Xenopus tropicalis: one gene and its partners. The main gene of each other region encodes a partner of the protein of the gene in region 7 in a complex. Links are inferred from orthologs where the notes say so. Each region holds a gene or a part of one and is shown on either strand. Other genes may lie near its edges.

Region 1 (3,500 bases), on a different chromosome or scaffold from region 7:
GTCGTACTGGCTGATACATTATATAGCTTTAAGAAGGGGCTGGATGGATTCTTAGCAAGTGAGGGAATACACGGTTATGGGAGATAGCTCTTAGTACAAGTTGATCCAGGGACTGGTCCGATTGCCATCTTGGAGTCAGGAAGGAATTTTTTCCCCTCTGAGGCAAATTAGAGAGGTTTCAGATGGGGTTTTTTGCCTTCCTCTGGATCAACTTGTAGTTAGGCAGGTTAGGTATAGGCATTATGGTTGAACTTGATGGACGTATGTCTTTTTTCAACCCAACTTACTATGTTACTATGTTACATGCTTCTGGTTAAGGTTGGGTCATCTTTGAGGTGAAGGAAAAATATCAGTGCGACTGGCTCTTCCAGGGGGATTAGATTAAAATGGACCATCAGAACAGGCTTAGTTGGGAGTGAGGAGTATATCAGGAGTAAATGGCGATTACATTTTGTTGCTGCCGACAATTATTTGTAATGAACTTAATTTTGAAAAAAATCTTTTTATTCTTCTTAACTGTAAACTTTGCTCAGTAGAAAGCCTAAGATACACAACACTTTTACTGGTGGCAGTTATCTTTTAACAGTATACAAGTGCCAACTTGATTTTAAATGCCCAAATACATATAGCAAGGTACATGTTTATGCCCCAGAACATGTAGCAGTGCCAGCTTGATGTCAAATGACTCCAGATATAAAGCATTATGTATAATAAGTGCCAACCTCATGTTTAATGAGAAAAGTGTTTTAGTACTTTTTGCTTCCCTGTATACAGCTCACCTTTCCACCCTCTTCCAAGAATCTGACACCTATCACTGGCAGCAAATTTACAGCAGCCCTTCGATCATCCAGTGTGGCAGTCTTGGTAACTGCTGCTCAGATTGCAGGACTATTTCTAAACCAATGGGATCCTGCACCGGGATCTCGCTCCCAGTGGGTTCAGCCTAGTGCTGGGGCTATTTTTTATTTTTTTTTCAAGAAGCCCCCATACCACCTTGTTTTGGGATTGATGTATAAAGGCTTATAACAACTAAACTATCTAATATAACTGTCATGGTGTTATTGATGTACCACAGTTCAGCCAGAAAATCCCCCTCTATCTTTAAAGCAGAAGGAAAGGTAAAATCATTGGAGGGGTTCTAAAATGTTAGGCACACCCCCAGTGATTGTAATCGCTTGCCTTATACCCCGGAGTGGTGCACCTATTAGAAGAAGAAAGAGGATCACTCTCACAACTACCCAGGGCTGGGGTATAAGGTAAGCGATTACAATCACGGGGGGGGGGGGTGGTGCCTAACATTTTAGAACCCCTCCAATGATTGTACCTTTCCTTCTCCTTTAAAGAGATATGGACACCAGAAATGTAACTGTTTTTTTTTTTTATATATATCATAACCGTGTCTTTGCATGCCATTTATCATTTTGCCCTACAAGTATTTGCCCACTGCTTTTATATTATCTAATCCCCCATGTTCCTCTATGAGGGGGCTGCCTTATTTCTGCAGCAGGAGTTCGTTGGCACTAGAAGCTATAACTGACAGGCTGAGAAGGGACAGTCAGGTTTGCAAAACAGTCAGGTTAAGGGACTTCAAATAGCAATTATTAACAAAAGCGGCCCTATCAGTGAAAAATGATCAACATGACCTATAGGTAACTTTTTATGTACATTCATATTTTAAAAAGTAGTTTTTTTTTGTGTGTCAGTATCACTTTAATATATGACTGTAAAGATATTGTAACTATTGGATTTAGACTGGATTTTGGTTTATGTAATAAAACTACATTTTTTTTTCTCACACAATTTATTAAATGCATTGTTATTTGAGGAAATGGGGAGACAACTAGTGGGGACCATATTACTGCATTAATGGATTAAAAACTTTACAACTGGGGGGGGGCGGGGGGTTGTTGAACAAGGATTATGACCTGTATGTTTTACTTTGTTTATTTTGCATGAAACTATTTAGATGCAGACATACCTAATTCTACAGATTTGATATTTGTAAAAAACTATTTCCTAACTCTGTTAGACTCGCATTGTAATGCAGTTCCTTCCTAAACCTGTTTCATAGTGAAGTGATATTGGGATTTGAAATCCTTCTGCTTTCCAGAGAATCTGTGCAACCACTGTTTCTTAAGCCCCGGAATTTATCACTTCACAATGAAACAAGGTAAAGGATGGGTTAGTAAATGTATCTGTAATGCATTTTGCCCCTTGGGGCTTTATCAACTGGATTAATTAGCCTACAACAGCTGCCCAGACGTTGACTAGATCTGCTTTAATTTTTGTTTTTTTTGGGGGTTTTTTTTTTTTTTTACTCGTAAGAGCAAACCCTGTCAAGGGTGGCTATATATAGAACTTTTATAAAATTTTGACCCACCTCCAGAATGTAATTCTAATCTGTTAGGTACACTGATTTTGAAAATAAATTGGCAGCAATATTTTTTTCTCAGTTTTGTGTGTAAATATTTAAAGTTGTGTCTGTTTATTCCTCAGGACTTTCAGATCTCACTGGCAGTGTCAATCTTATCTTGCACTACAACTTGGAACATTCCTTCAGTAAATTCTGTGGAAAAAAAATGAAAGAGAAACTCAGCAACTTTCTTCCAGATCTGCCAGGTAAAAAAAAAAGGGAGGTGGTATTAGCCTTTTTAACATGTTTTTACAGCTGACCATTGAAAAAGAAAACAAAAAGGCATTTAGAATAAGTAGCTTTGTGGAAGTTAAATGGTGATGAAGGGATAAAAGGAGATTTTTGCCTAGTTTATGTTAACAAAGCCTTGTTTGATGCAACATACACAGTTATAATTCTGTTTACAGTACAACTCACCCACTCCTGACTGGGCTAGCAGCTAATTTTATTGTTTCAATTACATTAAAAAACACATATTTATAAAGCCCCAACATGTTCCACAGAACTATACATTAAAGGGGGTGGTGTATACAGTGAACACACAGATTACATCAAAAAAAGAACAACCAAAGCTCAATACAAGAGTTAGTGGGCCCTGCTTAACATCAGCTATTGCATCCAGACCCACCTGATAGGGACACTGATGGCTCAGCCCAACCTAGTCATTATTTGACACAGGATATGGTACAACCCTCTGTATTAATACAATTTGGAGGCTCAAAACCCTATTCTTATTACTAGATTTAAAGTCACAGCCTATTCACAGTATCAATCCAAACTATAAAGGGAGTTTGCGAACAAACTTCATGTTGAATGAAATCTGATCTGTTGTTGGCTCGGCCCACTTTTTCTAACCTTGGACCACAGTTATATAGTAAGAGCCACTGTGCAAAGTTTTGTAATAGTGTCTGAATAGCAGCAAATTAAATTTCCCACTGAAAGTCAATGAGTCACATCTGATTGGCTGTTGGTGGCTCCGCCCACTTTTTAACCTGGAACTGCAGTTACCCAGTGACTAACTATGCAGAGTTTAGGGACCCTAGTATTAATAGTTAAAGAACGGCAGCAGTTTAAATTTAAACCGATA
Region 2 (4,143 bases), on a different chromosome or scaffold from region 7:
ATGGAGAGGAGGTTCCTTCTATATACTGGTCCCAGTCCCTCAGCATTCATTGAGGTTAACCAAGCAATTCTGTTTTCACTTGTTTAACCCATACACAAATGTCATGTTGGGATCCAGGTAAAAGGCAGGTTTATTACAAAAAACGAATAACTGTGTAAAATGATATACAAGTTATATTTTTATGTGGGTATTTGTCTTATGAAAACACAAGTAAAGCAATGCATTCAACTGAATGCAAAACAGTTTGAATAAAATGTTCAGTTTACTTGTGTTTATTGAAGTAATCCCAGTGAAAAATCAGATAACTATATATCTGCTGTCTAATCTCGTTATACATATTCTGCTTCTGCTATATTTCTGCATGTCCCATGCTACGTACAAATCCTTTTCTCTTTTTTTCCCATTTATTCTTTTACAATTTTCTAAGGGACCAGTCTGCTCTACAATTGGTAGTCCAATTGGTAGTCCGGAAAAACGCTTGCTGAAAATACCGCATAAAAACGCAAGACTTTGCATTCTCTCAAGTTTTTATGTGTATTTCGGCTACATGTGCCTGAACCCAAGCATATTCCATTCATTCGGGTGCAGGCACAAGTAGGAGGCGTAGGGCGGTATTTTCAGGATGCATTTTTCTGCTTGCCGAAAATATACGCCCTATGCCTTGTCTGGCATTAGCCTAAGGCTGATGTCAGACGTGGCATATTCTCGGCAAGTCGAAAAACGCTTGCCGAGAATACGCCCTCTGCCTACTACCAGCTACGCTCTGGTGCAGGCACAGGTAGGAGGTGGAGGGCGTATTCTAGGCAAGCGTTTTCCGGCTTGCTGAGAATACACCACATCTGACATCAGCCTAATAATGCAAAAGGTGGCAACACATAGGCCAACCTGCCATTTATCCGATTATGGCCTACACCTGGCCAAATAACCCTGTTGCATTCCTTTGGGCCCACTAACTGATGGGAATTTCTGCTATTAGTATTTTTATGTTGGACAGATGGAGTGCAAATTTTTTGCAGAATAATCAACCTGTGTGTCATAGTCATGCATTATTTTCCAAATTGGCTAATTCTTTCCACTTTAATATAAGTCAATATAAAAAGAAGAAAAGACATGGTGAACACAGTCTTTATAAAAGTTGAGAAATGTTTTTTTACAGAAAACATAAGCAGTGAGAATTTGTGCGTTCCTTGTGAAGACACAAAAATGTAAAACTATAACCAAAAAACAGATTTGAAATCATTGAAATGTATACGTATGTTTGTTAACGCATACTTCTTTTATTCACAACTAGAGGCAGACTGAGTTCCGTGCTGGTGTGTGTTTCCACCCGGGACATATCAGCGTTGCACACTGGGTCTTCTTCCTGGAATCTCTACATTTCGGCTTTATAGACGCTAGCTGTGGGTTGTTGTGACGTTCTTGGCAGCGTCACAAGCAGCGGTCCGCTCATCCTTAGGCGGTGTTCGTTTGGCTCATTGATGGCGGGGAACTTTTGGCAGAGCTCTCACTAGTAAGCGTTGTTTTATTTGTTTTGTCTATAGGTAGTAGGCTGAGCTGTCGCCATCTTTAAAATTCCCTAGCACTTCACTATGAGCGGAAAAGATTCTAACCTGCTGCCTTGCCGTTCTCAGTATACCAGTGTTTTGAGACTTGCAAATTGTGAATTTCTTTGCCTGTAGTGAAGTACAGGCCTTTTTGTATTTGCTGTAGCCCTATAATAACCCTTTTAATAAAGTGCAAGTTGTTGTGTTAGCAATATACAGTCTGAAATGCAGAATAACTCATTGCAAATGAGGTCCAGGTCCAGCATTTGATCAGTTCCATGGCTTTGCTTATAAGCACAAAACAAAGCCCTCCATCTGTTGCACTGTTGCACATCCACTGATAACTATCAGGAGAATGCTGGGAGCTGAAGTTCCACTAAATGCCTGGGGACCTCAGGTAGGTCATTTTTGCCATTAAGACATCAAAATGGTTATTACAAGGTCACTGAAATATTAAAGGAGACATTCGTATTTTACATCAGTAAGTACATTTAAAGGGGTTGGTCACCTTTGAGTTAGCTTTTAATATGATTTAGAGAGTGATATTTGGAGACAGTTTGCAATTGGTCTTCATTTATTGTAGCTTTTTTTAGTTATTTCATTTTCATTTCAGGAGCTCTCCAGTATGGAGTTTCAGCAGCTATTTGGTTGCTAGTTACCTTAGTAACCAGGGAGCTGTTTGGATGAGAGACTGTTAAATGAATAGGAGAGGGCACAAATTGAAAAAAAAAAAAGCTACAAAAACTAACAACTATAAAACTGCCTCACAGAGCATTAGTTTTTGTGTTGCTGGGGTCTGCAAAGAGTTGGAAGAAGAAAGAGTTAGTTAGAATTGGTCATTCCGTAACATACTAAAAGTTAACTTAAAGGTGAACCACCCCTTTAAGAAGGGGTTGGATGACTTTTTACGATCCGAGCCCAGCCCTTAAGGTGGCGATTTGCGATCTTTCATGCAACCATCGGTCGCACACCGTTCAGGGCTGAAACGGCAGATAAGGAGGTAGAAACAATAGGATTTCTACCTCCTTCTGCCGATTCAGCGCTGAAGGCAGATTTTGGTCAGGCGCCTTCTATCGCGCCCGATCAAAATCTTTTAACTTGCCCGGTCGGCGAGTCGACCGATATCGGCAACCTCCTGCGATATCGGTCGACTCGCCGATTTGCCATACACACACCGAATATCGTACGAAACGAGGTTTCGTACGATATTATCGGTGCGTGTATGGCCAGCTTTAGACTTGGCCAATACATGAAACTACGGTTGGCTGAAACATGGAGATTGTGCGCAAAATTGCACTTGGCCCACTTCATCTAGGTAAGTGAATGTGCTCTATGGACTAATAAGAATTTGACAAAATAGCAGTGCAAAAGAATTGAAATGATATATTTTTCTAATTTTTTTTTTTTTTAATTTATTTTAGTTTGCAATGGATTTTGGACAAACAAGACTTATTAAAAGAACGACAAAAAGACCTAAAATTTTTAAGTGAAGAAGAATATTGGAAATTGCAGATATTTTTTACAAATGGTAATCGCATGTTTCTTTTAGAAACCTGGTATTTTATTATAGGTGCAATATTTTTATTGTGCTATGTTACTTCTGAATATAGATTGTTATTGGGATGCAACCCACTCAATAGCCCCCACACTGTTTGTTTCTCTTGCTACATTCGCATGAAACACATACTCATTTACATTAAACATTCATCTTATTTTCTTTCCTTTGCAGTTATCCAAGCTTTAGGAGAACACCTTAAATTACGACAACAAGTCATTGCCACTGCCACTGTTTATTTTAAAAGATTTTATGCCAGGTGAGTTTGCTGAGAGGGAAAGGACTTGTATGTGTTTTTGGTTTTATGGTAATGCCCTATCCAGTGCCAGCAGCACTAAGCAAAATTAGTGGTGTATGAGTGTTAAAATGTCACAATCCAGCTGTGGCTTACCACTACACCGTAGTGTCTTTCTGTGATAGTTAAGCCCAGACTTTCCTCAGGCAGTGCATATTATTTGAGTGTAATCATAGACTGGAAAAGTACAGGCTAATGACTGAACATTTAGTAAACATATACTTCGTCTAGGTAGGTGAATGTGCCCTATTAAAGGTGGCGACACACGTGGCGATCTGACGATGTTTAGTGCGACCATCGGACCACACCGTTGGGGCTGAAACAGCAGATAAGGAGGTAGAAACAATAGGATTTCTACCTCCTTCTGCTGATTCAGCCCTGACGGCAGATTTTGGTCAGGCGCCTTCTATGGCGCCCGATCAAAATCTTTTAACTGGTCCGATCGGCGAGTCGACAGATATCAGCAGCTTCCTGCGATATCTGTCGACTCACCGACATGCCATACACGCACTGAATATCGTACGAAACGAGGTTAAGACTAAGATTTTGACAAAATTTTTCTTATATTTTAGATCACGTTGTTGCTATAAAGCTGTGCTGTATCTTGTATGTATTGTTTTACATTTAATGTTTACAGATCCAACTTTTCAATTTAAATGGAATTGTTACTCTATGGTATGGCCTTTATGCACTTATGTTTTGTTGATATAATTTTTTTGTTTTTCATATTAGGTATTCTTTAAAAAGTA
Region 3 (4,218 bases), on a different chromosome or scaffold from region 7:
GTGGCCCTGCAAGGGATTTTTACAACCCATGGTCTGCTCAATATCTCCATTGACTTCTTTGTAGATACACTGTGTATCTCATCCCACAACAAGTGGGATGAGACACAGTGAAATCTCACTTTTACATTCCCTGATTTTGCCATATTTCACATTTCCACAATCATTTTTTGGAGGGGTCTGGCGCACACAGGTACCTGGCCACCACCCTGGCAAATATTAAGCAGCGGGCACCCTTAACTTTATCAATGAGAGTGACTATAGAGCAGGGGTGGGCAAACTTTTTGGGTCAGGGGCCACATTGACTAACAGACGGGCCGGACCGGGCCGGGACAGCGTTACGCCCGGGGCTGCCATCAAAAATTATGGGGCCTCTCAGCTCCCCCCCAGCATCCTTCATGACCTGCGGCTCCCTCCGCCAGCGACCCGCTGCTTCCTCCGTCCCGTCCTTCTGTTCCCCGGCTCCCCAGTGCATTCTTTTATATGGTTGCGCCCCGTGTGTGCTGACGCTATGCGCATGCATGGGGCGCAACCAATCAGGGCCCGTCATTCTTTTAAGGGGGCCGGAGACAGCGGGCCATAGTTTGCCCACCCCTGCTATAGAGGAACCAGACCCTATGGTCCAGGCTGCCCCTGGTGCCCCCCCCCCAACCATGGTGTCTGCTTCCTCTATAGTTACACCACTGACTGTAGGAAGAAACCATCTTCACAGCATAATAAAGGGGGGAACTAAAGATTTTTAGTTTTTAAATCATAATCCTGTGTGTGTGTAAATCTATATATATATATATATATATATATATACACAAACACACACACTGTTCACAAATACACATTTTTTATTAGATGAGTGGAGAATATATATATATTAAATTAAAATAGTCCCAAATTACATTTATTTCCAAAGTAAAGTGTGAGCAAAATGTAAATGTAAAAATAGAAAGGTTTATTACTCAACGATTGGGTCTCACACAGAAGCCTTCATCTGGAGTGAAAAACAAACTAAATACATATATATATATATAAATATACATGGTTTGTTTTTCACTCCAATATCCATTTGATAAGATAAGTGCAAAATATGGAACGCTTCACGAATTTGCGTGTCATCCTTGCGCAGGGGCCATGCTAATCTTCTCTGTATCGTTCCAATTTTAGTATATGTGCTGCCGAAGCGAGCACAAACATACCTTAGCGCCGGTTCTTATTTAAAGCCCCTAGCTTTTGATTCGGTTATATTGGAGTGACAATTTTGTATGTCTATATGTATATTTACACCGAGCAGCAATAAATATTACTTGATATTGTTTTATTTACTGGGTACATGAAAAACAGAAGAGAAAGATTGAATTTATAGCTGCAATTTAGGCATTTGCCACGATGCACGCCGGGAGAGGTCGGCATGCTAATCTAAGGATGACGCCATCGGAAAGCGACATTGAGACGCTTATTCCGTGAGACGCACTAATGTAGCCGGGAACTTTCATTACTGGTTTTACGTAGAACCTTGTTATCCTACGGGATTCTGGAACCAGCAGTAACCAGAGCAGTTTAGTAGCAAATCCCCTACGCAAGGTTCTAGCATATTTTCGCTTTTTGACGCTTCTTGTCGTCCGCCTTCGTTTCTTATAGCTGCAGTCAGTCAGTCCATTCCCAATGTAAGCCATTGTGTTTCTGTTCCCCCGATCTGTAGCCCTTCTCCCATAGTTAGTAGGTGCGTGTTTGCTGTCAGCATGGATGTGGGGTACGTATGTGAGTGGGACAAAAGACCACGGACCAGTCACTGCCCATCAATCCCACTAGTTTGCGCTTGGTCTTGCCGCAATCTTATTGCTTTCACTACAGATCAGCGCAATGAGGAGGAGAAAGGTAACATCTTTTTGTTATTACAGCACCGCTCTGTGAGTGTGATTATATGTGTGTGTATTTCTATTATTTAGTAACTGTTATATGTCTACTTTTCTCTCTCTATCTATAATGCATAAAACAATTAAAAGACAAACCAAAATGAGTCTTACCCAGTGTTGGACTGGATACCAGGAGAACTCATGGTGGGCCCAGGTGTCAGTCTCCTGCTCCTGATCATTTGGCCTGTTTCATGGTCATTCCCTATTTCTGAATGGGAAGAAAGTCAAGAATTAGATGGAAGAATAGATGCTATGTAAATAAAAGAGACTTGGAGAATAAAGTGGTTGGGTGGGGAAGGAGGACAAATAATTTGGAAAGTGGGTCTAAGGTTTTCTTGTGGGTCCCTGGGTTCCCAGTCCAAAGCTGGTCTTACCAAAGAGCTTGGATTGCTTGGATTACATTTTTATATTACCATGTTTAAAATGAACTAGGTTAGTATATTAAGGGTATTTGGGTCACTAGAATGCATAGAATGCAGATAGATGCATAGACGCAGATAAAAAATTAAAGCATCTGAATCTATAGGCATACACATTACGGTTAGGCAATGCCTTTTACATTACATTAACATTTATTTATAAAGCGCCAACATATTCTGCAGCGATGTACAATAAGTGGGTTACATACATTGGACATACAGAGTAACATATAAAGCAATCAATAACCGATACAAGAGGTGAAGAGGGCCCTGCCCAAAAGAGCTTACAATCTACAAGGAGAAAGGGTTGAGACACAATGCCTTGCACCAATATAAAAATAGAAAGTATTGCTTGTAGTGGAAGCGTGGCAGCTTGAGACCTAGGTGCACAAATTCAGACCCAGGAATGTGTTACTGCAATAAATTCTACTTTTTATTTAATGTCATTCTGTGCCACTTTGTATTGTGGGGAAAAAAAATTCTGCACCTTACCCCCCCTTAGTAAATAATCCCTGCCAGCAGGCTCAGACTGCCAGTCTGTGGGTTCTGGCAAATGCCAGAGGGACTGCTGAAAGATGCCATAGACAGTGACTGTGTAGTAGAGCGCTAGTTGGGGGCTATTTGAGCTTTTGTGTGCTGAAAATGCTAGGGCCTATTTTAAATCTCAGTCCAGAGCTGCCTACTAGAATGTTAAGTGAAGAAGTGTGTATTCTCTCACAATAGTTGGGTCGTGTGAGCTGTAAGAAAAGTGCTTGTTACTGAAAAAATGCTAAACAATTGGCTGTAGTTAGCCCTCCTTCCCACCCCCATTCATTTACCTTATGAAATTTACATTGAAGTGCAAAGAGTTCATCTGTCTTCTATTATCTTTCTAAAAAGTTCAACTGTACTCAAAATCAGGCGTTTTACAATGCACAAATTTAAGTATATATTTTATGCTCTCATTGAATATATTCTTATTCGTTAAAGCAAGTATAATTTGACCATGGAGAGTTGCAACATTGCATAATTCTCACCAGATTGTTTGTTTTCCAGGGTTTTGATAAATTAAAAAGTGTTTTTACAGGAATATGGATAAATCTGAAATAACTTGATTTTTTTTCTTCTCAGATATCACTAATTTGATCCATATCCTCGACACAGAACATCCGTGGGATGTCTACTCTATTAACTCTGGGCACCAGGAAGTTATTACCAGCTTGGAGTGGGACCAATCTGGTACAGTAAAACAAATTGCTGGGCTTTTTGATAATAAACAAGAAAACCATATAACTTAAAAGGGAAGGGCAGAGAGCAAAGGGAAATATGAAGAAACAAGATAAATGTGGGAAGCAGAAAATGAATCCTTGAAGGGACATAGACAGTAGTGTTTGTAACTGTTGCTTTGGTTTTATTGGTATTTTTAGGTTCCCGCCTGCTCTCAGCTGATGCAGATGGTCGAATCAAATGCTGGGGAATGACTGATCACTTAGCAAACAGCTGGCAGAGTCTTGTAGGCAGCGAAGTGGATGGAGATCCCATAGTAGCTCTGTCTTGGTTGCACAATGGAGTCAAACTTGCTCTCCATGTTGAGAAGGTGGGTGAGATAACAATGAATATTTACATTAGTATTTATATTTAGTTGTTTGTATGCTCTTTTCTTTCACTTCACTTCACTTTGCTTATCCTTTTTGTTGTTAAGCAGAGACCATTATTTCTTTTGTCCCCTAACCATTATTTCCCTTTAAGTAGGCATTTACCACCCTTAATACTGATCTTTTTTCTCCTGCAGTCTGGTGTTTCCAGTTTTGGAGAAAAGTTCTCACGCGTGAAGTTTTCCCCATCTCTTACTTTGTTTGGTGGAAAGCCAATGGAGGGTTGGATTGCAGTCACAGTCAGTGGTTTAGTTACAGTGT
Region 4 (3,500 bases), on a different chromosome or scaffold from region 7:
TTGTACCAAACCCAATAATCAGCGCTTCTCAATGGAACAACAACATTTTGATAGAAAGTAAAAAGCAAATGAAGCAGAAAGCTAGCACATTCAATATACAGCACTGTGCCAAAACACATGCTGGCCTCCCTTTCAGGCACTTCATGGGTTTCACAAATAATGAACTAGGATAGGATAACACATCTTCCTTTAAACAATAAACACTTATAAAAAAAATTATCAAAAATATATATATATATAAACAAATCACAAAAAATACTGGTACAAAATGTCAGTTCAGTATTCCAAGTACTTGACAAAAAAGTCCATGGCTTTCATGACTATGGCAGTCTTCAGTAATTAAAGCCACTTAGGTAACATGCATACACATCTCAGAGCTAGTGGTTGGATTCCAGTGGCTGTGAACTTTCTGCCCTCATTTAATCAGAGTCACTGCTGCTGCTGGATGAGTCTGTGGACATGACCTCAACGTCTTCTTCATTTTCCTTGTTGGGCCCAAGGGATTCCATTAAAAATTCATTACTGTGATTCGGAGGTAGCATGTTCATGGACATGTCATTTGATTGCCATGGGTACTGAGGAGCCAAGACATCTAAAACAAAAAGTGATTTCCCAAAGAGTTTAGTTATTATTTGAACACATTAACTACTAAGGCCCAATACAACAATGATATGAAGCAAATAGGCCAAATGTTTATTACATGCAAGTTGATTTCTTTGTCCCTAAAGGGCTATGGCACAAAGCATTTTCAATGGTGTTACTTATGGCAGCAATCAGAATGCTGTGAGCTTCCCATTTGTGATTTAGCAACATATGGAAAGACTAAAGATGTTTTTTTTAATGTTATATGGATTCCAGGAACTGGGACAAATAAATCATGTGAATTTTTAAGTTCTTTTATATTACCTGGGAGTCGTCCAGCAGCCAGTGCATCTCCAGGCAAATGTCCATTGACTCCATTAGTAGGCAGGTTACTCATCTGACCCAGAAGGCCACTTCTCATTTCCAAATCAGTGGGATAAGGCCTTCGAGGATCACCTTAAATAAAATTGTGCACAGGAAAATCAAATTACAATGGCTAATTTAAAGTTGTGTTAAATAATGGTAAAAATACACCACACATCACTACTTCAACATCATGCTGTAAAATAATTTGTATTTACACACCGCTGTGCAATTAAAGTTTAAAATTTTGCTGGAGTTAACATCAACTTTAGAAAGATTGAGTTTAACTGACTAAGTCCCATTTAATTTTTGTGAAGAAGAGAACACAAACCATGGTCTTTCCTTAGTTGGCCTCTCCACACGTTCTTTTTATTTCTGACTAATAAAGCACATAAACTGGAGTAGTAAACACTGGCAATATGTAATTACCTGGCACCCAAGTCAAAGGAGCACATACAGCATTGCTTGCACTAATCCGATGGGCATACTTAATTAGTTCTTCAGAAGAAATTGCACCTTAAAAACATTTAAAGAAAAAAATGTTAGAACATTTACACTTCTAACCTTTTATTATTTAACTTACTACAATTTGATGACAAGTTAGAATTTTTTTTTACCAAACTGTCAGAACAACTAATAATTTGTTGTACTCCACTATGATAACACTATAGTTTATTGTTCAAAATAAAATAAACTTGTGTGTAGCAATCACAGGAAGTTTACGAGGGCATAAAACAACCAGGTATAGGATCAGTGCAATGTGTCAATCCACGTTGGAGCCAGCGATTAAAGTCCAGGTGACAACATCTGTATCAACACTTGTGATTAAAGAAAACTGTATGGGGTTTGACATACTTTAAATGAACACTAATCCCCATATGTAATAAAAGTTGCTAAGTGCCCAGTAGCGGTAACCCATAGCAACCAATAAGATGTTTTCTTTTCAACAGGTGACCAGTATGCTTAGTATGCTCTGAATTGCTTGTAGGTAAGCTAAGCTAAAAATGTGTGAAAAATTATACTGAGCAGAGCATGTAGTAACATCAGATCCCAGTAAATCTCAGATAAGCCAAAGGTCAGTATTGATATGTTGCTAATCTGTATCGCAGGTCACAGAGCCAGGAAGTGTATTGATTAACATATTACTAAGCATTTTTGCTGAATGTTTATTATATAGGTTTTAAAGATTAAGGCTTTCCTGACCAACCTTGTAAAACTAAACACCTATGAAATACACACGGATCAATCAAGAGGCAAGAAATTATTCTTATTAACTTATTGAAAGTGGAAATTCACTTTTCTACTTTAACCTAAAAAATATCTGCACAGCTTATGAGCTTTCCAATCAAATTAGTCAGGGTTAAAATAGATTTAAAAATGTAGTTTAGAGTTGTGTGCACAAAATGGGGTCCAACTGCTTGGAGGAAAGTGTAAATCACTGATACCCTGGGCCAGTGCTCCTGTTTGCTAAAAACTGCACTGGCCCAGAGTATTTCTGCAAAAGATCCTCATTGCCATCTTATTCGAAGTCTTCCACACTTTGTTCTGGTATGGGCGGGCGTATGTGTAGTAGAGTGAAAGCCAAACTTAGTAACTAAAAGCCAGCTCTTTCACTCTAGTGCACACACTCGTGCTCTGGTGAAAAGGAGAGAGAAGAGGAAGAAAGATTGTGCTGAAGAACCTCTACAGAAATACCCTGGGCTGGTACAGTTTTCTACTAACAGGAGTTTCCTTCTGGTTTAATTCTCCACTACTCAAGCAAATTTAAAGGAGAAGGAAATGTAAACTCACTGGGGAGTGCCAAAATGTTTAAGTTTCAGTTGGGCAAAAATAGATGTATATTCAGGCCCAGACTGGAAATATTTGGATTCATGCAAATCTCAGAGGGGCTGCTGTAAGATGCCAGTCACTATTTGGTGGGCTGGGGAGGGGGGAAGCAGTTTGGAATCTGTGTACTTGAAATGCCAGTGCCTATTTTGAACCTCAGTGGGGGCCTATGTATGTTATATTGTTTTTTAGAATAATTCCTTGTGCAAAACTATGCCATTAGTTTCATGAAAATCTTCCACACTCACCCTTCCTTGCTTTATCTATTGATTTCAGTTTTTCCTTAGCTTGGTAGACAGCTGTTGCCTTAGGATAAAAGAAATAACACAATTTTAATTAAACACACTTTTTACAGTATTCTAATGAATCTAGGTATTCATATATAACAGAATATGAAAAGCATAACTCAGTACATTGAAAATCTAGTACAGGCATGACTGTAAGCTCTATGAGACAAGGACCTCTTGTCTCTGACACTTAGGGCTCTGGCACACGGGGGAGATTAGTCGCCCGCGATTAACTACCTGTTCGCGGGCGACTAATCTCCCCCGTGTGCCAGAGCCCTTAGCTCTTAGTCTGTACTGCAACTGTCCTATGTATTTGTTATTGTAAATACCCCTATTTGTTCTATTCATTTATTGTTCAGTGAAAAGTAGCACTGTATAAATAAAATTATACGAGGCAAAGAGAGGAGGTTAAAATTCCCACCAAGTGCTGAAGGTTGTAGT
Region 5 (3,500 bases), on a different chromosome or scaffold from region 7:
TGTTATGGGCTGTATGAAGACACAAGATAACTGATCAAGAAATCGGCACATAGTAAAAATCATAAAGGTTTATTGCCTCTGAGGAATCAAACTGAAGCCTCAGGCTACAAAGCAGAGCACCGAGGAGCATTTACACTAGAAAAAAAGCAGTTCTCTTTTAGGGAAAAAATACAATAACTTCTGCAGCAATCTGCACTAGTCTTAATCAGATCTGTCACTCAAACATCTAAAATAGAAGGCTCTGACCCAAACAAAGCAATTACATGCAGGTATGATGTCTACACACTTTTCTGGTATGGCTTGGCAAGCAAATGGCAGAAATTCATAAAATCAAAGGCTGCTTTACCATAGATGGCGGAACAGGCTGTTGCTGAGCTCCCTGCTGCTGCAATTGTACAGGCGCTGGTCCAGGACCTGTGGTTACCGTGGTGACAAGACTGGGTTGAGAAGCAGGCGTCATTAAGGATGCAGTGGAAGTAACCATCTTGGGGACTGAGGTATTCTGAGGCATTGCAGGGGGCGGCGGTTGGTTAAATGGAGTACCAACAGCCGATGTAGGTGGCATCTGATTAAGGTTTGGAAGTGGAACTAAAAGTAAAGTAAATAAAATACTTATTGGAGAAAAAAAAAACAAAGTATCACACAGCATAACCACAAGAAACATTGTAAAGTAATAAACAGCCTGGGATTCTGGGCAGCTTCTTCCATAAAATATTCTTTGTCCACATCAGTCATTAAAAAAAAAGTTTCCAAAGAAAGTTCACCTCATGTACAAGTTCTATTTATTAATACTGACAGTTATTTATTGATGTGCATTAAATATCAAGTTTAAATCAGGGAAGCATAAGCTATTTTATCCTGGAGGAATCCAACGTAAGGAGGAGAAGAACCACAAAAGCCATCCTTTTTGAAAGGCACTGCGGCTGAGAACTTACCTAAGGCAGGGGTTAGTGGTTTGGCTAGCACTGGATCAACCACAGGACAAAGGAGCATTTATACAGGCAAAAAAGGCAATTTCTTATCAGCGTATAAAAGGCTGCAGTTTACGTAACTTACAGCGATTTGGGAGGTTATTTTTCTGATTCTTTGCAGCTTCAACCGCAGACTGGGCAGCAGCATGTGCTGTAGTCAAAGTATTCTGCTGAGGAACCTGCTGAGAACAACACAGGTCAGTCTGAACATAACATAATGTTTATTAACCATCTGTTTCCACCCTTCTAATGTAACATGCAATTGCCATAAACTGTGTCCCAGTCCATAAAAGAACATGATGACAAAAATAAAAGCCAAGCTTGTGCATAATACATCTCTCAACCACAGTAAATCCCCCTAAACAATTGGATCTTGTGTACCCAGACCTTCCCTCTTCATGACCAAACTACATTTCAAATAGTCAACTAAAAGGCTAGAAAAGACTTTGTATAACAAACAATTAGTGATCTAACTCCATCGGTTACACTGTATTAATGAAGCCAAGTTCCCAGACACCACACACACGTGGAAATACATACCATATAAGGTGGCTGGACAGGTGGGAGCTGATGCGAAGGGGCATTTGCAATCTGGGGTGGGACAACTGGAAGTGGTGGCTGTGAAATAGGTTGTTTAGGTGGAATGACTCCTGGAACAGATGTAGCTCCTCCTACTGTGTTAGAGAGCCAAAATGAGTAAACATTAAAAACACAAATTATTGACCTGCTGTGTTCCATACTATAGCTATCTACATCTAAAGCTATCTATATATCTGTGTAGGTATGTATTTATGTATATCTATGGTTTCCTTAAAATTTTCTTATATAAGTAGTTTGTGAAATTGCACAGGGCTAGAGACAAAGATATAAGACCTATGGAAATCTGAATGGAAACCAAAACATTATGGTATCCGTTGGTAAAGAAAAAGTGTGTACTAACCAGAATTTGATTTTGGATATAGTTTAGATTTAATTCAATAAGTCAATGGCAATCAACAATCCCTTCTAAAATTCAATGGCATATTTCTGTATAGGCCGATCCATGGCGCACAACACTAACCTGGAAGAACCATTCCGCGTACAAGTATCATGTGCCGAGGGTCCTGGCTGTAGTCTTTAGGCTGTGGCTCGATCAAACCCACTGGCATGGCTTTCTCAAACAGAGTTCGTAATGCTGGCAGTTTGCGCGGGGAAATGACGGAGAAATGGATTCCTCTCTAATAAAAATAAACAAGGCAAATATAGTCCCAGTGGTCATTGGATATGCTTCCATATTCTAAAGTCAACAACAAGAGAATTTTATACCTTATGAGCTGCTGTACAATGTACAATTTAATGCTGGGTGTCCAGTAAATGGAAAATAAGTGACAGAAATATGTTTGATTATCTTAGCACATACCCTTTACAACAATGTTTATTCAGATTTTCATTCTTTCTTCAAAGGACCAGTCATACCAATAAATTAAAATATTACCCTCAAAAAGCTTTTTGATGTGCCTGCACCCAGAGCCACTGTGTCGGGCCTGGTGCAGGCACACTGAGCAGATTTCCCCGCAAAATCAAGCTTTTTGAAGCTTAGGGGTGGATTCTCTGCCTACGTTAATCTGCTGGCCAAGAATTCGCCGCGTGGCCGAGCCATAGGGCACATGTTTTTACAGCAGATTATAAATAAACTGTGTAGAATACAATGGTTTCTGTTCTTACACAGGAAGGTAAACTGGGGACAAATGTCATTTATGGCTCTCTACAGAAAAGAACAAAAAATTTGCTCATGTAAAACTTGTATTTTACTTTTTTACATTACTGATGCTTTAAGCAGAAGGTGTAGTACAACGTTAACCATTTATTATGTTAAAGGGGATGATTACCATTGTTTTTTCGAGCAGATAATGATGAAGCTTACACTTCCTATAATAGTTAAACAGAATTATGGATCTATGATATGGTAAAAGAAAGCAAACATATGCGTCCAAAGAGTATACACAAATGGGGAGAAGGATGATGTAGGAGACAGACTCATAAAGAACAGGGTAACTGGGAACAAAAACAAAGAACACAAATGAGAGCTAAAGTGTTTTTCATGAAACTCACCTCCCCAATTTTCTGTACAAGGTTCTCAGTTGTGTATCCAGAGTAGGTTGTGCTCTCTACAGCAGGCAGTAGATATGGAGGGGAGTTGCAAATCAAGATGCACACCTTGTGAGTTTGCCCACTAACGGAAAAAAAATCATTTGGTGTAATTAAAAAGAGCAGCACCATTACCAATTAAGAATGTGTAGTGCAACTCCTTTATAGGAATTTGTTTCTCTATTACAAGCAGCTGAGCTGCAGTTCTTTTACTGACTTCCTTGTCTTGCATGCAGCTCCACCCCTTATGCTTTCTAGGCCCTCCTTCTCTCTCTCCAACTATAAAGACCTCAAAGAGGTGCCTTAGAGATAGGGCTTACTTTTCCATTAGAATTAACTTACTAAGAACTTTTAGACAGACACAAAAACTCACATCTGTTCCCTCATCTTTTTGAAGTCATC
Region 6 (3,500 bases), on a different chromosome or scaffold from region 7:
ATTCTAATTTTTAAAAATGATCTCCTTTTTCTCTGTAATAATAAAACAGTACCTTGTACTTAATCCCAACTAAGATATACTGTAATTAATCCTTATTGGAGGCAAAAAAGTCTATTGGGATTATTCAATATTTAAATAATTTTTAGCAGACTTAAGTTTTGGAGATCCAAATTACGGAAAGATCCCTTATCCGGAAAACCCCAGGTCCTGAGCATTCTGGATAACATGTCCCATACCTGTATAAGGTTTGGCAAGATTGAACTATGTGGAATATGTTTTAAACATTTTGCAGGGAAAATATGTTAGCTATCCCTATGTTCTGGATGGAGCCATCTAGCCCCACCATTCCAAAACGCTTACTTCAAATGATCGTGTCATGTCACCTGTGAAAATACTACACGTTACTGTAGTCTGGGCTATCAAACAAGTCCATCATGTGTGAAATAATGTTCCCACATCTCAAATTTCTGCAGTGAATAGGAATAAATGCAATAAGTATGGTAAACATGTAAAAGGCTCTGTTTGGCCTAGATCAGAATCATTTTATGAAAGTTGGATTGTTTGATTAAAGGGATATTGTAAAAGGAACTTGTATGTATGGTCTGTTTGAAAATGATAAAGTTATCCTGGTTAAAATAGCATTGTTTTAGAGAAAGTAATTTTTGATAGAGCACACAAATTCCATATAGATATATGCTTGGTTCTGGAATACTTACATTTTGTAATATAGTAGAGATACAATTTAATGTTCTTTTATATGCTCTCTGTCTCTGTTCATTTCTTCATTTGTAGGCAACCTTTCACAGTTCTCATCCAAAATTGCCATGTTGTATATTCCTAAATTAAAGAGTATTTGCATTTATATGCTCTAAATTTCAGGTCAGGCTGGGAAGCTCCTCTATGTTATGCACAATTCAGAGTACCCTCTCAGTACATTTGCATTATTTGAGAATGGTCCATGTCTAGTTGCTGACCTAAACCTGGATGTGCTTATGGTAAAGCTTAAGGGATTCTTCCAGAATGCGAAAGCCAACAAGATGGAAACACGTGGCACGCGTTACCAGTACTGTGACTTCTTAGTCAAGATTGGCACGGTAACAGTGGGACAGAGTGGTCGTGGAATCACTGTAGAGGTAAATATGTGACAAGACACCTAGATATTTTCAATATTAATGAACAGCACTTCATATTATGATATTTTTATGCATAATAAATATAGAATAGTATAAGAAAATGATCCTTAAATCCTTGATTCTGTCACGATTTTGATGGTGTACTTTTTATTTCCAAATGACTGGTTTACATAGCAAATAATTCACTCTACTATTTAAAATTGTATTCTTCAAAGAACAAATGTATTTTAGTTGTCATATTGATGTGTAGGCAGCCATGTCAGTGCATGTTCCTGCGATGAGCTTTAAGAAGGAGCCAGCGCTACACATTAGACCTGCTTTCAGGTAACCTAATGTTTCTCCTACTTCCATGTAATTGGAGGAGCTTGAACTACAGAAGTCATGAGCCAGACTTTTTTCACTATTGAGTGCTATTCTATCTGCCACTTTTAGCAATACAGGTGTCAGGGAGCTGTTTACTTGCTAACTTCCCATTGTTCTGCTGATCACCTGCAGCTCTGATATAAACTGATCATATTTTAAGAGTAGAAGCCATCACTTGGATACTGGGGTTAGGTTTGTGCTTTCAAATTGCGCAGAAGATGATTGCAGGTTTGCATTTGCAAAACTATCCAGCATTCCCTTCTTTTGTCATGACATAACGATCACATGCAAGCACAGGAGATGGTCATGTTTTGTGGGTTAGCGGACAGTGCATATGCAGATCCAAGATGGCAGCTGTGTTCTTGAAGGGAAAAAAACATGGAAAAAATGGGTTTTGCAAGAGGCATGGGTGAACATTAAGTTGGGAAAGTATGGGTTTGGGTACCTTCCTTATCCTTGTACCAATGCGCAAAGTAAAGAATGTTTTCAATATAGTTAGCCAGAACACTACTTTCTCCTTTACAGCTCTCTAAGCTGTTAGCAGTCAGTAACCAATCAGCAACTTTAGGGAGGGCCATATGGGACATAATGGTTCTGTTAATTTTTTTTTTTTTTTTTAACATTGTTGTTTAAACATTTGTTTATTTACATTTTTTCAGACATTTCTATTTACAACATTTGTAATGGTATTTCACTTTGCTTACATATGTCTTTTAAGCAATAAAGTGTTTGGGACATTTTTAGGTTAGAGAGCTGAAAGCAGGAAGTAGTGTTCTGTCTATTATGTTAGACATCTGCTCACTTTAGCCTAACTATATTAGAAATATTTTTTATTTAATGGTCTATTTTACCCAGTTTCATTTTCACACTGAACTGTGCTTTGAGGGGATTATGTAATAAAAGTCAGTAAGTTTTCCTAGGAGCAATAACCCTTAGCAACCAATCAGCAGGTAGCATTTACTGGTTACCTAGTCTAAGGGTGAAGACACACGGAGCTACTAGTAGCAGGTACTTGTCGTGGCTACTAAAATGCTGATCATTTACTACATGTATTTTAATTTCACAGTATTGCCTATGGCAGGGTATTTTCTGGTGTTTAGAAGCCATGGAAAGTAGCTGCTGCTAAGTAGCTCCATGTGTCTTCACCCTTAAGGAAACATCTTATTGGCTGCTGTTAGTTAGTGTTTGCTTCTTTACAAACTTAGTGCCTTTTATTATAAATGCTGGTTAGAGCCAAAAGATTTTTTATTAGTGCATATGAATTTTCTCGGGTGCTGACTCTGCTTCGACTAACTGCTTGTGTATTATGTGAAGTAAGACCCCCTAAATGTACAGAGACCCACAGAAAACCATATATTCCTGGAAAGTACATATTCTGATGGATCTAACATGGTTAAAGAGGCCTTTCTACACCAAAGTACTAATCTGTAAAGCTTTTCTAAAGTTAGCATTTTTCTGACAAAAGAAAATCACCCCAAATATGAATATCAGAGGTCTACTGAACAGTTTGAGGCCAATATGCATAGATTTACCAAATTATGAGGTGTACAGAGGAACCCAAATGAAAATATGCACATGAATTTTCTCAGCTACCAACTCAGTTTCTGAAAATAAGATCCCCTGTTGCGTATTATGTGTTGTAGACCCCCTAAATGTACAGCGACCCCTGAAAATATCCAGCATGGGTAAAGAGTCCTTCCTACACCAAAAAATGTTGCAATTTGTCACATTTATCTCACACAGTTTCTTGCATACAAAGGCAAATCACCCCAAATATGACTAAATATAACACACACCAGAGGTCTACTGAACAGTTTGATGCCCAATATGCATAGATATACCAAAGTCTGTGGTATGTACGGACCCCAAAATGAATAGTGCGTATGGATTTATCACCTGCCAGCAACAGAGCACCCTGACAGTGTATTATGTGCCATAAGACCCGCTAACTGTACAGAGACCCCCAGAAAACCATATGTTTTTGGAAAAGACACATTCTGATGA
Region 7 (3,500 bases):
CCTACAGAGAGAAGAGAAGCAGCTTGAGGCTTGCCTGGATGCCCTTATATCTCAAGTTTCTGACATCAAAAACTCTTTGGTTGGCTTTATCCACAAACTTGAAAATGAGTATGACCGACTGACATGGTGTGTTAAAGCAGATATTTTTAAAGTATTGAACACATTTGGCAGTGAAGACTATTTTCTATGTTAAAGGAGAGGTTTGCCTCAAAATTAGAACATTACAGATGAGGCACATGAGTTATTTCAAATACTCCCACTGGACAGCAAGCACTTGGCAAAGGCTACTAACAGTGCTTTATCTGGCATAACAACATATGCCAGATATGCCCAATATTATTTAGCCACAGATGGTTTGGAATCCCTCTGTCAGAAATAATCACAGATTCTGCATTGATTGGGATGGTTGGATCACACTGGAAAAGCAGTTGCAAATGTCTGCAAGTTAAAAAGTAAATTTGTGGGTGAATGTACCCAATAATAAAACACATTTTAATGTTAAACGTTTGGTTTTTCAGGTAGGGCAGTTCACTGTTTGATGAACACAAAAAATTATTGGCCAACATAAACTGAATACCCAGTGAAATTTAAGAAGGAAAGGCTTAGAGCCCAGTTGTAACCCTCAACACCCCCCCCCCCCCCCACTCCTGTGACCAGCGGCTAACCTGAAATCTCATCTGCTGTGTCTCTTATAAAACTACTTTGCAGTCAGTGATCTTGATCTTGCCATGCTGCATATTGCCAGACAACAGCATAAATCAACAAAACCATCTTGGAAACACCGAGTCTGTTGTGGTACCAATCAGAAACTGACATTTTCCCACCAACAAGGAAACGCCAATAAAATCTGAGTCCCCCAAGTGTTTGCAGAGAGCAGTGGAATCCACCTGTCAGGGGCCAGTTTTGGCCTGAAAATGCTTCTGTGTTTATTACTTCCACTATTCTGCATTTTTTTCTAAAGGGAATAGAATCTTTTGGGCTTCTTTCTGCTGAATCAATATCAGAGTGTTTGTCCCATCCTTGATTCAGTACAAACAGTGATAATTATTGGCATAAATGTATCATAGGGCCTTGATTTTTAAGCTTACAATCTTTTTTTTGCTTTTTAATTCTTGTCATATAAGCAACAGAAAATGTGTCTCTTTAAAGTCTAATTTTTTTTGCCTTCTATTTTATTTTTGTTTCTACAACCAAAACAGGAACTGCACATTTCCTTCGATTCAGCGGGTTTGCTTATGCAGCCATGGAAAGCGAATTTTAAATCTCCTTATACTCCTAATGCAGAATATATAATAATTGTAATGTTAATCTAAAATCCGTCAGTAAGGCAGGATTCGTATGGACTGAATTATTCCTGTTTTTGTGTGTCTCAGCCACATGTGCCAGTTTCTGTCTGATTAGTATATCTTTTTTAGGCCATCTGTACTTGATAGTTTTGCACTTCTGTCTGGGCAATTGAACACACTGAACAAAGTGCTTAAAAACGAGAAGACACCTCTTCTAAGAAACCAGGTCATCATTCCACTTCTTTTGTCTCCGGACAGAGATGAGGAGATCATGGTAAGTTTATGAAATAACTGCTTTTGATGACAAATCTTGTACAAACTTTGGCTGTCATACCTTTCCTTGCCTACAGCGTCTGACAGAAGGTAGGGTTCCAGTATTTAGCCATGAAGTGGTACCAGATCACCTGAGAACAAAACCAGACCCTGATGTGGAAGAGCTAGAAAAACAGCTAAGTGCTGAAGCAGCCCGTATCACCTCTGAGGCTGCACAGGTATAGTTCCCCTCTAAGCATTTTTATTGGTTTTTGCCACATTGTCCATATTGCTGATTTGGTTTTATTTTCTCTAGAAACAAGTTCAGAGTATGAACAAAATGTGTTCCAATCTGTTAGACAAAATTAGCAAAGAAGAGAGGGAGTCTGAACTTGGAAGTGAGTATTTGGTTTGGGTTGATAGCTGCTATGACATGTTGAGTTTGCTATAGTTCTCTCTGGACTCTGTGCAGTACCAGAGAATTGTTTATATAAATAGTGCTCTGCATTAAATCAGCATTCATAAGAAAATGTCAATTATCTACCAGTATATAAAGTACTCTATACTAGTTCTTTTTTTTATTAAAGCCAGTGTCCACACTTTGGGCAAATATCAGACATACTGCAGTAGTGCGGATGTGCCCTAGCACACTTATTATGTGCCAGCACCGGGAACATATCCTATTCTGTGGGAATTTACCTAAAGAAATATTATTATTTGCAAGTTTTTTTAGGCCACACCTTCAGTGGGGGAAACAGTTAAGATTGATAGGTGTCTTTTAGTTTCTAGGGGTCAGGATCCTTGCCACTGCTCCTCCTTGCTAGCCTTCACCAACAAACTGTCCTAATCAAATGGCACGGGTACATTTAATTTATATACTCACGCTGTTCTATGCTCACCCCCTTCGGTAAAAGCAGGTTGGGTGCAGGTATATAGGGAATTCCAGGAGGCCGGGTTGGGTTTGTGTTAGGGTTAGTACCAATCAACAATTAGTCAAACAAGGCATCTCTAATGCCATGTTTCTCTGCAATATGTAAAATATGAAATGATTGTATATGTGTGTTAAATATTTCATATATGTGTTTCTTACAAAGCTTAAGGGAGAAAATGGAGTTATGTAAACATGGACAAAGTTTGCCCTGGTCCATTAGCACACAGCAAACAATTTGCAGTTAGCTATTCACTGATCTTCTGCACTTATAATATTGGCAGACACTTTACTGGGCTGATATATGAATAGTAGAGGGGCTGAATGGAGAGATAAGTAATAATAATTAACAATAAAACTGTATCCTCACCGAGCAATAGTTTTTGACTGCTGGGGTCAGTGACCCTCATTTGAAGGTGAAAAGAAGCAGTAGAAGGCGGCAAAAGGTGACCCATCCCTTTAACACCTTTATTGACTACAAACTATCTAATGGATCCCATACTTGTAGTGTAGAAATAATGTGTATCACAGAATTATATTTTTCTGTAACTTCATGTTTTGGTCACATTGTACATGTGTAATTTCTTAATCTAGGTTTAAGACAGAACAAGCAAACATTTAATCCTACCGACACAAATGCACTTGTAGCTGCTGTGGCATTTGGAAAAGGACTTTCAAATCGTCGCCCACCAGGACAAGGTGGTCCTATGGCTCCAGGACAGACAGGAGCCAGCAGCATGCTTCCAAATGCTACAGGTATGCAGGTTCCAATGTCATTGCCACCAAACCAACAGCAACAACACATGGCTGGAGTATCAATGTCACAGGGCAGCCAGCCAGGTAGGTGCTATTTACATGGTTTACCTATTTTAGTAATGGATATTCTCTTTTTGTATGTATTCATTTTACTTTGACCACATTCCTTTATGTAAATTATCTTTTAATGTCATTAAACAGGTAAGATGCCCAGCAGTATTAAAACCAACATTAAATCTGCCTCAATGCACCCATATCAGCGATGAAAGCCTGTTCTG

Evidence for each region.
Region 1: med8 (region 7) and med19 share a complex: the UniProt entries of both Homo sapiens proteins name them as parts of the mediator complex. The link is inferred for Xenopus tropicalis from reciprocal best matches to the Homo sapiens genes MED8 and MED19.
Region 2: med8 (region 7) and ccnc share a complex: the UniProt entries of both Homo sapiens proteins name them as parts of the mediator complex. The link is inferred for Xenopus tropicalis from reciprocal best matches to the Homo sapiens genes MED8 and CCNC.
Region 3: med8 (region 7) and med16 share a complex: the UniProt entries of both Homo sapiens proteins name them as parts of the mediator complex. The link is inferred for Xenopus tropicalis from reciprocal best matches to the Homo sapiens genes MED8 and MED16.
Region 4: med8 (region 7) and med4 share a complex: the UniProt entries of both Homo sapiens proteins name them as parts of the mediator complex. The link is inferred for Xenopus tropicalis from reciprocal best matches to the Homo sapiens genes MED8 and MED4.
Region 5: med8 (region 7) and med25 share a complex: the UniProt entries of both Homo sapiens proteins name them as parts of the mediator complex. The link is inferred for Xenopus tropicalis from reciprocal best matches to the Homo sapiens genes MED8 and MED25.
Region 6: med8 (region 7) and med20 share a complex: the UniProt entries of both Homo sapiens proteins name them as parts of the mediator complex. The link is inferred for Xenopus tropicalis from reciprocal best matches to the Homo sapiens genes MED8 and MED20.

The regions. Positions count from the first base shown.
Region 1 is NC_030683.2:55,860,814-55,864,313, forward strand, and holds part of med19 (mediator of RNA polymerase II transcription subunit 19), read left to right. Parts: intron 1-2,496; coding exon 2,497-2,619; intron 2,620-3,500. UniProt on the Homo sapiens protein: Component of the Mediator complex, a coactivator involved in the regulated transcription of nearly all RNA polymerase II-dependent genes.
Region 2 is NC_030681.2:82,030,365-82,034,507, forward strand, and holds the start of ccnc (cyclin-C), read left to right. Parts: upstream 1-1,343; 5' UTR 1,344-1,478; coding exon 1,479-1,510; intron 1,511-2,965; coding exon 2,966-3,072; intron 3,073-3,273; coding exon 3,274-3,358; intron 3,359-4,126; coding exon 4,127-4,143. UniProt on the Homo sapiens protein: Component of the Mediator complex, a coactivator involved in regulated gene transcription of nearly all RNA polymerase II-dependent genes.
Region 3 is NC_030677.2:100,791,816-100,796,033, forward strand, and holds the start of med16 (mediator of RNA polymerase II transcription subunit 16), read left to right. Parts: upstream 1-1,418; 5' UTR 1,419-1,730; coding exon 1,731-1,866; intron 1,867-3,433; coding exon 3,434-3,541; intron 3,542-3,729; coding exon 3,730-3,899; intron 3,900-4,094; coding exon 4,095-4,218. UniProt on the Homo sapiens protein: Component of the Mediator complex, a coactivator involved in the regulated transcription of nearly all RNA polymerase II-dependent genes.
Region 4 is NC_030678.2:134,871,175-134,874,674, forward strand, and holds part of med4 (mediator of RNA polymerase II transcription subunit 4), read right to left. Parts: intron 3,079-3,500; coding exon 3,021-3,078; intron 1,462-3,020; coding exon 1,375-1,461; intron 1,039-1,374; coding exon 907-1,038; intron 593-906; coding exon 420-592; 3' UTR 1-419. UniProt on the Homo sapiens protein: Component of the Mediator complex, a coactivator involved in the regulated transcription of nearly all RNA polymerase II-dependent genes.
Region 5 is NC_030683.2:117,450,992-117,454,491, forward strand, and holds part of med25 (mediator of RNA polymerase II transcription subunit 25), read right to left. Parts: coding exon 3,472-3,500; intron 3,184-3,471; coding exon 3,063-3,183; intron 2,189-3,062; coding exon 2,032-2,188; intron 1,646-2,031; coding exon 1,512-1,645; intron 1,154-1,511; coding exon 1,057-1,153; intron 589-1,056; coding exon 347-588; intron 10-346; coding exon 1-9. UniProt on the Homo sapiens protein: Component of the Mediator complex, a coactivator involved in the regulated transcription of nearly all RNA polymerase II-dependent genes.
Region 6 is NC_030678.2:70,770,635-70,774,134, forward strand, and holds part of med20 (mediator of RNA polymerase II transcription subunit 20), read left to right. Parts: intron 1-879; coding exon 880-1,133; intron 1,134-3,500. UniProt on the Homo sapiens protein: Component of the Mediator complex, a coactivator involved in the regulated transcription of nearly all RNA polymerase II-dependent genes.
Region 7 is NC_030680.2:88,531,562-88,535,061, reverse strand, and holds part of med8 (mediator of RNA polymerase II transcription subunit 8), read left to right. Parts: intron 1-7; coding exon 8-126; intron 127-1,415; coding exon 1,416-1,560; intron 1,561-1,636; coding exon 1,637-1,777; intron 1,778-1,854; coding exon 1,855-1,936; intron 1,937-3,060; coding exon 3,061-3,306; intron 3,307-3,423; coding exon 3,424-3,488; 3' UTR 3,489-3,500. UniProt on the Homo sapiens protein: Component of the Mediator complex, a coactivator involved in the regulated transcription of nearly all RNA polymerase II-dependent genes.